Arabidopsis thaliana: one gene and its partners. The protein of the gene in region 1 interacts with the protein of each later gene in a pairwise test. Each region holds a gene or a part of one and is shown in the gene's direction. Other genes may lie near its edges.

Region 1 (5,186 bases):
ACTACTGATATAGCTCAGTTCCTATACACACAAGAGAAAAGGCTCAGCTACAAAACTAATTTTCAATTTCTTAATCCAAACAGAACCAATATTGTCAAGAAAAAGACCCAAATTGAAACGCATGCATAATATTTGTTTAAGAGCAAAACGAGTTTCGATTTCACGGTGAAGCAGAAACTGCAAATCAGGCAAACGGAATCCATTAAAACCGACGAGGAAAGGAAGAAGAGAAACGTACAATCTCCAGAGACTTCAAGACTGATTAATTTCAGAAGATCTCAACGATAGTTACTTCTTTCTTGGCCATGAAAACCTGGAGCTTTAAAACGACAATGGTTGATGCTAGGGCCGAAGTAGGGGCCTTGGGAAGAACAAGAACTCGAAATTCGGAGGAACCAAAGTTTTATTGTAGGGTTTGAGCGAAGATCAAAAACATCAATGTATCAAACATTTCACATTTCAATCATTGGGCCTTCTTGGGCCTATCTTTAAAAAGCCCGGGTCGGGTCGGAGTAATAAACAGTAACCGGCTTGGTTCACAGGGATTGGTGGGTCCATGACAAAATTGTAACATTGCAATCAGGCAGTATTTTGGAGAGTTTGAAAACGATATTGAATGTGACAGTGTCTTATGACAAGAGATATCTACAATGGAGTTTTATGTGAGTCTGATGTTCACACTCGAAAACTTTCACAAGTTGAAGAATCATGTGATTTTGTATCTTGATGTCAATGTTTCCCATTCATGGAGCTTTTGTCGACAAGTTTTGACATGTCCCTACAATATAGCAACAACACTTGTGTGACATAGATATTGAAAGAGAGATAGATATACCCATTCGCATTTTTATAAGATTCCTCTTGTGATAAATCCAATGAAACTATATGATGATTTCAAAATAATACAAAAATAGAAATTGATCTCAATGTACCTTCCAAAGAAAAATGACAACGTGTGGGGCTAAAAATTGCTGTACCATCATATCTGACACCTTGATTCCATTTTTTTTTTATACACCAAACAATGAGTAGAGCATAAAGGCCTTTCGTATTACAAGCATTTATTACTTACCATATTTAAAATAAAAAAACTTACCATATTATTGTCGATCTAGTATATATATATATATAGATCGATATTTCTACGTATAAATAGGGCGATGTTGTGTGACATGTCTCTCAGTCACCACTTTTGGCGGGTTCTCGTCGACAGAGATTGATCAAATCTAATTATTATTGTTGATGATAGAAAGTTGTCATGCATAGATTTCTCAAGCGAGAATATTCATTAATATAGGATTCTCATTTTTTAATTCTTCGCTCTGAAGTTGTAACCTAGTAGCTTGTACTAGGTACATGCCATGTTGTAACATTGGTTAGATATTTGTAAATTTTAGAGGCTTTAAATGCAAAAGATTATATTCGGACTACTCGATCATAAATTTTGGTCTAGTAATCTGCTTGAACATTGATTTTGCGGAGCAATTCTTGATGAGAAGCAATTTTATGATTTTATCCCAAAACTAATCGCGACATGATCATTCGGTGAATTTGTTGCTAGGAGAAACAATGGTCTAAGATAAACTGAAAAAGGGAAGAGAACAAATATTAGTTAAGATTGATCAATGAGAAGTGAAGTGAGTCAGTGTACTTTGCACAAACATCGATCTTTCGTCTTTGAGTCATGAGATGGCCAGTTTAGGTTAGTCCAAACATTGCCTCCTCGTGAGTTCTTGCTGTATATATTTGCAAGGACAATAATTCCTCTTATTTGGCGTTAATTTATTTATTATGTCTAGAGTTCGTAAATGAATTGAAGAAAATTATTTACTAAACAATAAAGGTTTTGCTCTCCCCGCAGAATTTTTGCCTATGACATTAAGAAAAAAAAAGCGTGAAAATATAAAGATAAACAGTACAATTTTGGATTATATTGTTGAAGTTTACTCATATAATTTGTATATGTTGATAATGGAGAAAACATATAAATATTTGCATGTCCGTATATAACCTTATTTCCCTTCTATCAAATCTAAGAAAAAAAACAAATACTTTACGCGTAGGCGCTTTTTCATGTTTAAAGTTTCGATTACCATCAAGATTTGCTTTTTGAGTCATTTTACCTTATACTATATACGACAAAAACTCGTAAATTACCCTCTTATTGTATTTAATTAATTGAAATTTCTAATTCACATTTAAGATATTAATATTTTAATTTATTTTATCAAGATTGTATATTAATAATAAAATAGAAATTTTCATTGTCAACAATAAATATGAATTTTATATCAAATATGTTAAAAATTTAGTTTTAAGTGATATATAACCATTTTCAAGAAAACAAATCTATAAAAAAAAAAGTGTATGAATTACTGAAAGTTGGTATAACTTAAAACCTTCAAACGAACAGACAAAAAACTAAGATGACCGTTAATAATAAGATACTTTTGTAGATCTGTATATTATACAAACAAAATAAGTAAAAATAAGAATTAAAATTATTTTGGTCTTAAGATTCACAGCAAAGCACGATGCATTGTGTAAATATAATACATTATACAAATACATGGTGGTACGTATATAATATAAATATTTGTACATATAAATACAAGCATGATACAATAATAGTATCAAAACAAATTAAGACAACCTAGCTAAATCCACATGCTCAATACATATTCTCTCACTCTCTTTCTCACAAAAACAAAAACAATGCCAAGAGTCATGTGGAAAAACTTCCATCTTTGCTTCCCATCAAATCTCACCAAGCCCTCTTCATCTCCGTCCGGTGCCACCTCCGACGATCCCAACCGTCCATCCATTCTTCTCATCAACAACTTTAACCTCCTATATGACGACTCCTCCGCCGCCCACCGCCGCCTATCCAAGCCTCTTATCCACGACGTTGAACCCTCTTCCACCTTCACCGCCTCCACCTCCACCGCAGCTAACTCTTCTTCCTCCTCTGCCTCTTATGATGATTCCGATAATTACGGTTTTGCCCCTGACGACGACTCTCCCCCTCCTGACTTAACCGCCGTTTTAGCCTCCCGCCGCTTCTTCTTCTCTTCTCCTGGCTGCTCAAACTCAATCACTGACTCGCCAGATCTCCGCTGCCGGGATAATTACGATACTGCCACTAGGCTTCTTACCGGAGGAACCGCCGTGAAACACTACGTGCAATCTCCTGATCCGTACAACGACTTCCGACGATCAATGCAGGAGATGATCGACGCCGTTACAAACGCCGGAGATCTTCGCCGTTACGAGTTCTTGCATGAGCTGTTACTCAGTTACCTCTCTTTAAATGCCGCCGATACACACAAGTTCATTATCAGAGCTTTCGCCGACATTCTCGTCTCTCTCCTATCGGACGGTCACCGGATCAGCTGAGCTGACGTGGCATATATATATTTATTCTCTCTTCATGTTATGTAAAAAGTAACACATGTTATTTATTTTTGTAATGCGTTACTTAGGACAAATAATCAGAACTAAAGTTAATGTAATTATTTTGTAATGATACGATTGAGAAAGTCGAGAGAGGCGTGGGTTTTTGTCTCGATCGCATGCAGTTAGATTCTTCTTTTAATTTGTTTCTATTTTTGTCTTTTTACCCTTTTAAATTAAATAAATTAAATGTTCTGGAGTATATATGGTGAAACTTAAATCATTGATTGGGAAGTTATAGTTCAATTTAACATATTGATGATAAAAAATAGACTTAATTTATACTTTCCGAAATGCATCTCTAGAAGTATATATTAAGAGACGGAAACCCATGGCTTCATTATAAACTTAAAAGTGAAAATTTATTTTGGTTTAAATCATTAAATACACGAACGAAACTTATGAGTTGAAGAAAATTTGTAATGGGTAAAAGCTGAATTGTGATAACTAACAACATTACAATTTTGCTGATTAATTACCAACAAAATAATAATTGTCTAATTGGTATGATGTATGATTGTTAAAAGTTTGTCTTTTGGAGAAACTACCAAGAAAACGCTCGGATTAGTGCCATGACAAACAATGAAAAAGCTACGTCGACTGACAATTGGTACTATTTCTTCTTCTTTCGTAACGTCTCAAATTATGTTTGACATGTATATCGAAGATTGACTTTCTTCTGCTTTTCTTGATGTTCTCACTTTACATCCATATCAAAACAAATTATTTAATCGAAAAACTGTATATGATAAAATTTACATCGATTTATATAGTTTTATTCAGATATTTTAGCCAATGCCATGATTTCTTTTATACGTTGGGGTTTATGCTATTTGGCCAAGATTCATATAGCGTATTAGTTATCTAAAACGCAAGAAGCGCATTAAAATATTGCCAAGTTAGGGAATGGTGCATGATAGACTAAATATATTAACAATAGGTATTCAAATTTAGCTAATGTTGAGATCTATTGTTGTAGGTGATTCTTTCCATGAGATATTTCACATAACACAAGGTGAGACAAAAACAAAATAGGAGAATCCTAAGAGACGGATGTTGGCCGAAGCCTCAACCAATATTATAACAAAGCTATTTTCATCATTAATATTATATATAACATTTTGCTCACATCCCTGATTCATATTCGCAGGACACGACCAACAACAATAAATAGTGTATGAAATAGGGACTGAGACAGTTAATCATTTACTACACTAGAGATTAGAAATCTCAAGGTTTTCAGATAGATATTAAAACAGGCCTTTGATTGCTTCTTCACTCACCATGGCAGCAGCATTCTCCGGATAAGAATCAAGGAGAGCTTCAACATTGGGGATTAAACCGCCTCATCGTCTTTGTCCACGGCTACAATATCATTGGGGGTAATAAAGCGTTGAAGCTGCTTGAAAAATAAACTGACACACAGAGATAGAGAGAGATAGAGGAACACGGTCGCCAAATCGTTTCGATCGCAAATACAACTCTTTCAGTATCATAGATAATTGTGGCCAAATATATAACTTTTGGGTTCTACGCAAAGAGTTAGATGAATTTTAAGGAAACAGTGAGAGATAAAGAACGAGAAATTTACGTAAGAGAAATAATAAGCAGAGTTGGTTGGATGATCTCGATAATCGACTAGGGGTTTCTAAATCACTTATTGAATACATACGCCGATGTTTCCCGCCCGCAAAGAAATTTATATTATTAGGTGGGGCTGAGAATGGGCTTCG
Region 2 (5,287 bases), on another chromosome or scaffold:
CTCGAATGGAAATTTATATAATTTTTAATTTTTTTACTTAATCTTAATGTTTAAACATTTTTAAATTGTGTATTTTATCTTTGGATGAATTGATAAATGGTAAAAATAGCATAATTAAATAATAATAGTAAATTAAAAAAAAAGGGTTACGTAAATTGTTTTAAAAACCCACAAAACTTAGTTTTTAGATTCTATGAAGAAATAGCTAAAAACTCCTAAAATCTAGTTTTCCTATTTTTTAAAAAATCTACTTTTTGTAGAAGAATGAATGAGTAATTATTTAGTTTTTGCAAAATCAAAATAAAAAAACTACTTCAAAAATTGGAACCATTCAAGGCCTCAATCATTTGTCCATTTTTAATCTAAACGAAAAAACCCACTCCTTTCATTTGTTTCTTTAAATTTCTGCAATGTTTAATTTTTATTAAAACTTATGTTCGTTTCTTTCAAGTCATCTAGTTTAAGAATAGTACAAGAGCACAGTACGAGTGTACGACACGATCAATTTATGTTTTTTCACTTTATAGTTTTGCTCGTAACTCATATTTATTGATGATGACTCGACTCCCATGGTTTTTGCCGCCGGCATGCTTTTATGGGTTGGGAAAAAATAAGTAATTTGAGAAAGATGATGTCATAATATGGACATGTGTCCGTTCACAGATTGGCTTCAAAGAGTTTCAATATGTTTGACTTTGGAACAGTTGTATGAATTTGCTCTATTTGCTGCAACTACCTGACGCGGCGATGCGACTCTGCCTACATCATAACTCATAATTAATGCAACGCTCATTTGAATCAAACTTTCACAAATCAATACGGTTACACATTTTTCATGATGTATGATTCTGACACTTTCAATATTGTTTTTTTTTCTTTTTCTAATTAAGAGTTTTGATAATCACTCCTAATTTTTATTTTCATTTTAATTATTTAAGTTTCAATTATTATCATGCTTATATATTTCTATTTTTTTTTAATTTAATAATGTCAAATCAAATTTACTTTTGAAGTTTTAAATTTTATTAGTTGGTCAGACACAACACAACATAAAATTTATTTTGAGAAAACCAAGAGTACAAGATGTAATGTTTAAAATCGTGGTAGAAGTTTGATTTATGGAGAAAAGAAAAAGAGTTTTCATAAGAAAGTGAAATTTTTCATTTTATTTCATTATCAAAGCCTAAAATAAATGACGATTCTCTTCACTTTCTCATAAATACTCTTTTTTTCTTTTTTCTTTTTGCAGAAATCAGTCCACCGCGATTTTCAAAATCTTCATCTTGTACTCTCAATTCTTTTATTGCCTGTTGTGTTCTGTCTAGTTCTGATTTATGCTTAACTAATAAAATTTCCAAAAAAATTGATTTGACACAATTAAATCAGAATAATAGAGAAATGAGAAGCATGATAAATGAATCTTAGATAATTCAAAATAAATAAAAAAAAAATAAATAAATAATCTAAAATACTAAAATTACAACAAATTATTAGTAAAAAAAGAAGCATATATTGGTTTTACATATATATATATTTTATACATGTCAAAATCTGATCAATAGATATAATATGCGAGTTACTAATTTTGAAATAAGTCTTTATTTATATTGTAATAAGGATAGTAAAAATTTATAAGGTCTTATCCTGGAGTTATGTGTGGAATAGTTACGGTGCAGTTAACCATGAAATTTTGAAGAGGTATTTTTGATGACTATCTAGAGGGCGTTGATTTCTTTGTTGATAAAAAAAGAAATAAGTTTATGTGAAACCAGTGAGTTTGTGTTGTGACTTTTAGCAAATTGAGAAATAAAGTTATTGGGCTGAAATAAGCATTTTAGTGAACAACAAAACACATACATGCAGAATATATCAGTAATAACTAGAAACCAATGGTCCACATAAGGCCCATATTCAGCCCACTAGTGACCGACCTACCCACCGGCCATTTACTTTATCCTCGCTAGTCACAGTATCGTTTCCATTTAAGTTTGCTCCTCATGGTGGTGGTCCTAAAACTCATCTACCCATACTTCTTCACCACTTTTTTCATTTTATTTTGCAATAGAACCACTCTCTGTGTCAGCTTATGGATTTGAATGGTTACGACGGTTGGGGCGAACAAAACCGTCAATGGATCAGATCGTTTTTTGTTTTATCATTCATCAAAAATAGTCCGCAGTGGTCCGGACCAAAAAAAATAGAAGAAAACCGCTGCGGACCATCTGCAGACCGTTTTTACATACAAATAAACTTGGTTTACAGCGATTTATAGTCCGCCCCAAAAATGAGATGGAGTAAACCGCAGACAAATTAGACCGCTTTGTCCGCTGCCTCCATTCATAACCTATAAATCATATAAAAAAGTTCGTAGACAAATTTGCTACGCATCATTTGCTAAAATAAAACACCTGTTGCCAAATGTCGACGATCCAGAATTATGATTACAAGTATCATCATCATACGATTACAATTATATAAAGAAATAAAGAACACACAGAACTATAATGCCAAGTAATTTCATCAGAAATAAAATTACGTTGTTTGGCTAAGATTTTACCACGTGTCAACTTTTCATTCGATCTAGATGGATACCCATGGACCCCACATGGATAGACTCATTGACACGCTCATGTGAAGCCAATAGTAACACCAACCACAAAAGAAAGAGAGAGAGAGAGACACTGAAACATAGAGAGAAGAAAAAGAAGAGGTTTAGAGAGAGAAAAATGGCGTCAAAGCTCTGCGATTCGTGCAAATCAGCGACGGCGGCGTTATACTGCCGACCAGACGCAGCGTTTCTATGCTTAAGCTGCGATTCAAAAGTCCACGCGGCGAACAAACTCGCGTCACGACACGCGCGCGTGTGGATGTGTGAAGTGTGCGAGCAAGCACCGGCACACGTCACGTGCAAAGCAGACGCGGCCGCGTTATGCGTCACGTGCGACCGTGATATCCACTCGGCTAATCCGTTAGCTCGCCGTCACGAACGCGTTCCCGTTACTCCGTTTTACGATTCCGTCTCTAGTGACGGTTCCGTTAAACACACCGCCGTTAATTTCCTTGACGACTGTTACTTCTCCGATATAGATGGTAACGGAAGCCGTGAAGAAGAGGAGGAAGAAGCTGCTTCGTGGCTGTTACTTCCCAATCCAAAGACTACAACGACGGCGACGGCGGGGATCGTTGCTGTTACTTCAGCTGAGGAAGTTCCGGGAGATAGTCCGGAGATGAACACTGGTCAACAGTATTTGTTCTCGGATCCGGATCCGTATCTGGATCTGGATTATGGAAATGTTGATCCGAAGGTGGAATCGTTAGAGCAGAATAGCTCCGGTACTGATGGTGTTGTTCCGGTGGAGAATCGGACGGTTAGGATTCCGACGGTGAACGAGAATTGCTTTGAAATGGATTTTACCGGAGGATCTAAAGGCTTTACTTATGGTGGTGGTTACAATTGCATCAGTCACAGCGTAAGCTTAATGTTCTTTAATCACAGTGATTAATTTAATTGATTATGTTTGATTAACAATTATTTATCAATTTTTAACGAAAAAGTTTAGATCTTTAGGGTTTAGACTTTTGATGATACTTAAAATTATTAATTTATTGGGAAGTAATGATTGGCTGACTAAAATTTAGGGTTATGCGAGCAACATGTGTAAATTAATCTGTAATTAGAAGAAATATTATGATAATCCTTAATTTAAGTATCTAATTATGTATTAATCAAAGAATTTTGGTGTCTTCTTTTTCATTTGTTTTGTTTAATCTAGTGTAGATCTAATCATATTCACTTATAAGTTATAACCTATAGTATTTGTCAGTTTGATTGTACTTATTATAATGGCTTGATCCAATGGTTGGTGTAATTTAGGTGTCATCATCGTCGATGGAAGTGGGAGTGGTGCCAGATGGTGGTTCGGTGGCTGATGTATCGTATCCTTACGGTGGTCCTGCAACCAGTGGAGCTGATCCGGGGACACAGCGGGCTGTTCCGCTGACTTCAGCTGAGAGAGAAGCGAGGGTAATGAGGTACAGAGAGAAGAGGAAGAACAGGAAGTTTGAGAAGACTATAAGGTATGCTTCAAGGAAAGCGTATGCGGAAATGAGACCGAGAATCAAGGGACGGTTTGCGAAGCGGACGGATACAAATGAGAGCAATGATGTGGTTGGTCATGGTGGTATCTTTAGTGGGTTCGGACTTGTACCTACATTTTAGATATTGAGAGAGGGAGAGACTCTAAAATGGAAGATGGTGGGTGGTTTGGTGTTTGTTTTAGTAATAAGGTTTTTAACGAACGTTTAATTTAAACGAGTTTGTTTGTTTTTTGTTGATGAGTATTTTTAGTTGTTGTGGGCGATGAAGAGGAAGAGAAGTGAGTGGGTGGTGTTTAACTGTTTATAAGTAACTTGTTTTGTATATATCGTGATTTTGAATATGTTCTTGTTTATGTTATGTACTCAAACTATTTAGAATCAACAAGTTTACAAAATTTGGTACACTGCAAAAAGAAATTACATTGTTGAAGTTAAAGACCTCAGAAAAAAGGGTGACAAAGAGAAGAAACTTACATGAACGAGATAAATCAGTTTCGAGGCAAAATCTTTGGACACTAAATAGTTCAAAGTTAAATGAAGATGATACATTCATTTATCAAAAGAAGGTAGTGGACGTTTTAGTTAAAGATAGAGGGAGTTGTCTTTCTTGCGGCGGAATCACTATGAACTTTGATTGGTTTTCGATTCCTTTCACCCGTTGATCCGCTCTGTTCTGTTGCGGCCGGCTTCTTCGCAGTGCTACTGTCCAAGTCGTTGTGTACTGTGCTTTGCGTTTGATTAGGTACCTTGGCTGAACTCTTAGGCTCTGAGTCGCTGCGAATTTTGATTGGCATTTGACTCTTTTCCCCGGTTAAACCACTCTGTTCTGAAGAAACGCTGTGTCCTGTTGCTGTAGTCGCGATTGGTTTTTGGTTCGAGTTATCGGCACTTCTAGCTGCAATCGGCTTTTGGTTCAGGCTTTGACTGTCAGTGTTGCGGTCCAAGTCCTTGTTTACTGTGGTATGGTCTTGATTGGTTTCTTTGGCTGAGATCTTGTGGTCTGAGTCATTTCTAACAGCGGTTGGCACTTGATTTGCTTCCTCGGATGAGCTGGAACCGTTGTTGTTAGCTGACTTGCTCTCCAAGAAACGTACAACTACACATGTAATATTGTCTGCACTTCCTCTTTTAATTGCTTCTCCCACAAGTTTCTTGGTGGACTCTTCCGGATCTTCAACTTCTTTTACTA
Region 3 (5,745 bases), on another chromosome or scaffold:
ATGGCTTACTATGCGCGCACCAACAAAATGCACATGCATGCTTCACGAACGTATAAAGAAGCTGAGGGTGGACAACATTCACTGCTTGTAGTGGGCAATGCAGTCTTGTAGAGCAGTTGTACTTTCAAACGAGGTTCTTTGTCAACGTCTGATTGGTTTTCTAGAATAATTGAAGGAGTACTTTTGTCCTTATCCTCGCAATGGACTGAGTAAGTTTCCTCCGCGGTTCCCTACTGGCCATGAGCTATGAATTTTTCAAGTGGTGGGTGCCAGGTGCCGGGTGGGTGCGGCGTTAGGATTATTCCTAAAGTTGAGGATCGATATACGGTTAAGTTTTTTTGTTATGGAGTGGTGTTTCGTAGTTTGTCATTGCATCAGTTTGATAATCTCTTTCTTCTAGCACCAGATTGTTTAGATAAATGTTAGGATATATGTGGAAGCAAAGGAATGATGTGGTTCACAACCAAGTCTCGATCCCAATATCAACTATCTTCAAGCTCATCGACAAAGAGATTCAGAACGTAAGCACCGCAAGACGTAAATGCAAGCGTTATTGCAACCTAATGCAAACTCTGGTTAATTTTAACTCCCACTATGTAATGTGACTTCTACATCATTTGTCTCTTTGTTTAATTTTTTGGCCAAAGATTCAAATCCATTGATATTCAGAGACAATAGTCTATATGGATTTATTAGATATAGTCTATATGGACTTATTAGATGATATTAACATTCATAGAGAAAACAACAAATTAGGATACGTTTTCTTTCTAATGAGAAAGTGAATGTACGAATGGTTGTTGGGAGGCTATTGTGTCTCGTAGATATTTTAAATAATTTGAATGTTTACTAATATAGAATGTGTATTCAATTATAACTATTTAAATTATTTTATTGTTGGTTTAGACGCATTCTTAAACTTTCACATCATTCTCTCGTGACTATTATAATAGTTATCGTGCTCGATCAATCATCTCGTGACTATTATAATTTTATCAATAGTTTATGCATAAGAGAACTGATAACGATCATACTTCTTTTTGTCATTATGATAGCTTATGATTAATCATTGTTTATCCATACTTGACGCTTGTAAGTGAAACATATGTTTAAATTTTCAGGCTTAATTTAATAGCCACGAACCAAAAATTATCTTATAATAAAAGTTTGGTGCGATTTAAGAAGATTTGTCCCCAAAGCCCTATCTGAAAGAGGTCAAATTGGATTATTAAATTCAACATATTAATCAATTTGATATTTGTTTAATGGTCTGATTAGTGACAATTATAAGTCTAATATTGCGAATCTTTTGCAGTGAGTATTCCACGTGATATAGATAAGTTTCCCTTAATGGATAACCTTTGCATCAAACAATTAGAAAACAAATGGAAGAGTATCAATCAAGTAGATCTCGAAGCAGTGGACCCTAACACGATACTGGAACATGGACCAAACCTTAAAATATCGTCCAAATTGCTTATTTTCTGGAAGGTTACAAGTGCACAACACTCTAATAATATATGCCCCGCATAACAATTTTTAAAACTATTTCATCTTAGACCTCGGATATTTTGAAGGAAGCACATTTTCTTGAAAATCACTAGGTGACTTGTGTTTCTTTCTTTGGAGCATGTCAATTTACTCCCATCAGCTGGAGAGCCAAAAGTTAAAATTAATGTTCGAAATTTATTTCATAAAAGCTACGTACGTTGCATCCTTCCATGATCTAGAAAAAATGGGGGACAATAACCAAATTTATTCACTCTTGTCAGGTCATGGGGAGTAGTCTACGACCTTGAAAGTCACGTGACAAGTAATATATACTGTACCGTCCAAATATTTTCTTACTGTAATGTCTTATGTTTCATATCGCTAGACCCTTAATATTAGTGTGGACTAATTCATATAATTGCAAATAAAATAGTATGATTCTACGATTCTTCAAAATGATCTAATAGTTACAGTCTGGTCAAAATGATCTAAATCTTTATAAACAAATAACAGCTACGGAATAATTAACACAATTTTTGGTGATAAACTTTGAGTTATGATAGAAATTTTTTTTTTTTCAATTTTTAATGTGTATCTTAATTTCTTCAATTAATGTATCCCTATGTTTTATGTGACTATATAACTTTTGGTTAGTGATACTCCAAAAATGTTGTTTTAGGTTTTGACACACATATTAATAATTTGTTTTATTTTTTACTTTACAAAATTTCTTATTGGTTAAAACATAAATCACTGCAAATAAAACTTTAATTTTGTTTGTAGTCAAAATTAGCTTTTAAAAATGTAAATTGATATTTATTCTAATTATTTTTTTAATGTTCTGACAATTAATTTAAAACGGAAAGCGTAATAAAGTAGATGTTGGGGCTGATTGGTAACGGCTGTTACTTTTGAACTCTAAATATTTCGGATGTTACGACTTTGACTGTAAAAATTTTGGTTGTAAAAATTTTGACGATAGAAACTTTAACTGTTAAAGTCTGATTGGTACAAAAAAATCACAATTATTTTTATTATTATTTAATATTTTTTATAAATATTATTTATGCTAAAAAATCAATTTATTTGGTAAAATAGTAACTAAAATAAATTTATTTTAAAAAAATACAAAATTCATTTTACAAATTCACTATTTTAAATATTTAAATTGGATCTGAAAAGAACAGAAAAAATAAAATTCGAATTAATCAATCGATTTTTTAATGATAAAATATAAATAAATTTGAAAAGAGTTTTGAAATTTTATGGATAAAGAAAAAATATTTTTATTTTGTTTTATTATTCTCTTTTAAAGTTAAAGACTTTAGGAAAAAAACAAAAGAAAAAAAGTAAATGGAGAGAAAAAAGCTTTTAAAACTTTAAAAATTAATAAAGTTTTAAAAGTGTGATTGATTAAAAAATAAATTTGAAAATTTTTAAATATTTTTAAAGCTTTGAAAACATTTTTTTTTTTTTTGGGGGGACAAATATGAAGAAAAAAAAAAAAAAAAAAAGACGAACATGAAGGGGAAAAAAACAAAAGACGAACAAAAATTGGAGATTTTTTCTTACACGTGTCATCATCTGCAGATTTGCGCTTATTAATTGTTTACCGTACGGTATTGTGGATAGGGTCAAGATTTTCATAACTTTACCGTAGTTAATATTTGACCCAACCATGGTTAAAATAAAGCAGTTTATATCACAGACACACACCTCTCTCTCTTCTAGACTCACTAAACAAAAATGATGATCGGCGAAAATAAAAACCGGCCACATCCAACGATCCATATCCCTCAATGGGATCAAATCAACGATCCAACGGCCACAATCTCTTCACCATTCTCTTCCGTCAACCTTAACAGCGTTAACGACTACCCACACTCTCCGTCACCGTATCTCGACTCCTTCGCTTCTCTCTTCCGTTACCTCCCGTCAAACGAGTTAACAAACGATTCAGACTCATCAAGTGGCGACGAGTCATCACCACTCACCGACTCATTCTCCTCCGACGAGTTTCGCATCTACGAGTTCAAAATCCGGCGATGCGCTCGAGGTCGATCTCATGATTGGACGGAGTGTCCGTTCGCACATCCCGGAGAAAAAGCTCGACGACGTGATCCGAGAAAGTTTCATTACTCCGGCACCGCTTGTCCTGAGTTTCGTAAAGGAAGTTGTAGAAGAGGTGATTCGTGTGAGTTCTCTCATGGAGTTTTCGAGTGTTGGCTCCATCCTTCTCGTTACCGTACTCAGCCGTGTAAAGACGGAACTAGCTGCCGGAGAAGAATCTGTTTCTTCGCTCATACGACGGAGCAGTTACGTGTATTACCTTGTTCGTTAGATCCAGATCTTGGATTCTTCTCAGGATTAGCTACTTCTCCGACTTCGATTCTTGTTTCTCCTTCGTTTTCACCACCGTCGGAATCTCCGCCGCTTTCTCCGAGTACCGGTGAACTTATTGCGTCGATGAGGAAAATGCAATTGAACGGAGGTGGTTGTTCGTGGAGTTCTCCGATGAGATCTGCAGTTAGGTTACCTTTTTCGTCGTCTCTGCGTCCGATTCAGGCGGCAACGTGGCCGAGGATAAGAGAGTTTGAGATCGAAGAAGCTCCGGCGATGGAATTTGTGGAATCTGGGAAAGAGCTGAGAGCGGAGATGTATGCAAGACTCAGTAGAGAGAACTCACTCGGTTGAGTCGACTTGGATCGAGTCTTTGATGACGTGGCGACTCGATCTGATTTTGTGAATATTTTAGAGATTTTTAAGGTGTTGTGGATAAATGACGTGGCGGGTCGATCTTAGTGACGGTACAATCGGACGATGAAGAAAAAAGCGTTAAGAGTAACAAAAAAAGGAAGAATTTGTAAAGAGATGATAATGAGAGAATTTGAGAGCTATTCTTCTGGCTTTTTTCTCTGCAGTTTTTTTTATTGTTTTCGTTATTTTCTTGTTTTTATTTTGGTTTTCGGCTTTATTTTGTTTGTTGTTTATTAATGTTATATCATTTTGTAATTAGTTCTCAAATGTATTTGGATAACATCTTAGTTTGAGACTTTAGAAAAGAACATTTCATTTGTTGTTTCCTTCTTATCGATTTCGTTGTTATAATAGTAAGAGGATATAAATATTTTTTGTTGGCCTGTTCTTTTTCCAAACGCTGCGATCATATCCAGCGACCAAAAAAACAGTTGCTTAACACACAATTACGTTGAAGTCTGTAGAAAGTTATGTGAAGAGGAGTCGCTCGATTTTAAAAACAGCGACCTATAAGGCATATACACGTGTCGCCAAAAAATAACAGCAACTTAACATTTTCACTAAGGACGCCGCCGGCGTCCATATTGAACGACTGTTTTTGTATCTCCGTTATAATTTTTGCTTTTCGTCGGAGTCCCTATTGCTGTCACAGCGATTAATAAACGAACAAGCCCAACAATTAATCAGAGAAAATAGTCTCGAGAAAATAACTCTCTTGCATCATATCTCTAATGAACATCAAATCTGCCTACAAATTCTATTTTTAAGTAAACATATTCCTTTTGACAAAAAAAAAAAACTATTTGGCTATTTCCAATGGTAGACTAGATCCACTCTGAAAATAGACTAATGACTAATGAATACTCATAATTTGGATAAAATTTTCATTTTCAGAATGATTTTCAAATTTAAATATGTTTTCAGTAATACACGAACAAATCTATATGTTTTAGGTATACATTGGGCATTTAATCAATACTAATATGGTTATCCAGTTAATTGAAATTTAAAAATACAACAATAATGTATTAAATTAAAAAATACAGTGACATAACAAACGATAATTTTATACATAATAAGTTATGAAATTTAACATAAAAACTCAAACAAACATAACAGAACATAGACTAGTAAACAGTTTTGTTTAAAAACTAATAACAAAAAAGAAATAGAATATGGTACACAAAAGAGAGTAATGGTAATCAATCCTATTTGCTTCGTGCAAATAGAGAGCATGAGACTCTTATTACTTACTTAGTTTGAGGAGAAAAGCTATGTTTTTTGTATTTTAATTATTAATTTTGAATAATGTATTGGTAGAACTTCTCTTATGAAATGAGATGTTTTTCTATTTTAATTTTCCTATTTATTGATTATGCTTTTTATATAATAGCTAATTTTTTAAAAAACATATTATTTAATTTGAATCGTTTTTGAGTAATGATATGAATGTAAAATCAAAATTTCACGTAACTTTCAAATTTAATACTAAAAATA

What was found. The genes of interacting proteins can lie anywhere in the genome.
Region 2: the proteins of OFP12 (region 1) and COL4 interact in a two-hybrid assay, tested with the Arabidopsis thaliana proteins (one large-scale study listed by BioGRID).
Region 3: the proteins of OFP12 (region 1) and ATCTH interact in a two-hybrid assay, tested with the Arabidopsis thaliana proteins (one large-scale study listed by BioGRID).

What each region holds. Positions count from the first base shown.
Region 1 is NC_003070.9:1,587,358-1,592,543, forward strand, and holds OFP12 (ovate family protein 12), read left to right. Parts: upstream 1-2,615; 5' UTR 2,616-2,667; coding exon 2,668-3,396; 3' UTR 3,397-3,655; downstream 3,656-5,186. UniProt on the Arabidopsis thaliana protein: Transcriptional repressor that regulates multiple aspects of plant growth and development through the regulation of BEL1-LIKE (BLH) and KNOX TALE (KNAT) homeodomain transcription factors.
Region 2 is NC_003076.8:8,586,731-8,592,017, forward strand, and holds COL4 (zinc finger CONSTANS-like protein), read left to right. Parts: upstream 1-2,726; coding exon 2,727-3,470; intron 3,471-3,874; coding exon 3,875-4,219; downstream 4,220-5,287. Other genes in the region: AT5G24940 (Protein phosphatase 2C family protein), read right to left, coding at 4,677-5,287.
Region 3 is NC_003071.7:11,038,580-11,044,324, forward strand, and holds ATCTH (Zinc finger C-x8-C-x5-C-x3-H type family protein), read left to right. Parts: upstream 1-2,751; 5' UTR 2,752-2,894; intron 2,895-2,986; 5' UTR 2,987-3,237; coding exon 3,238-4,185; 3' UTR 4,186-4,677; downstream 4,678-5,745.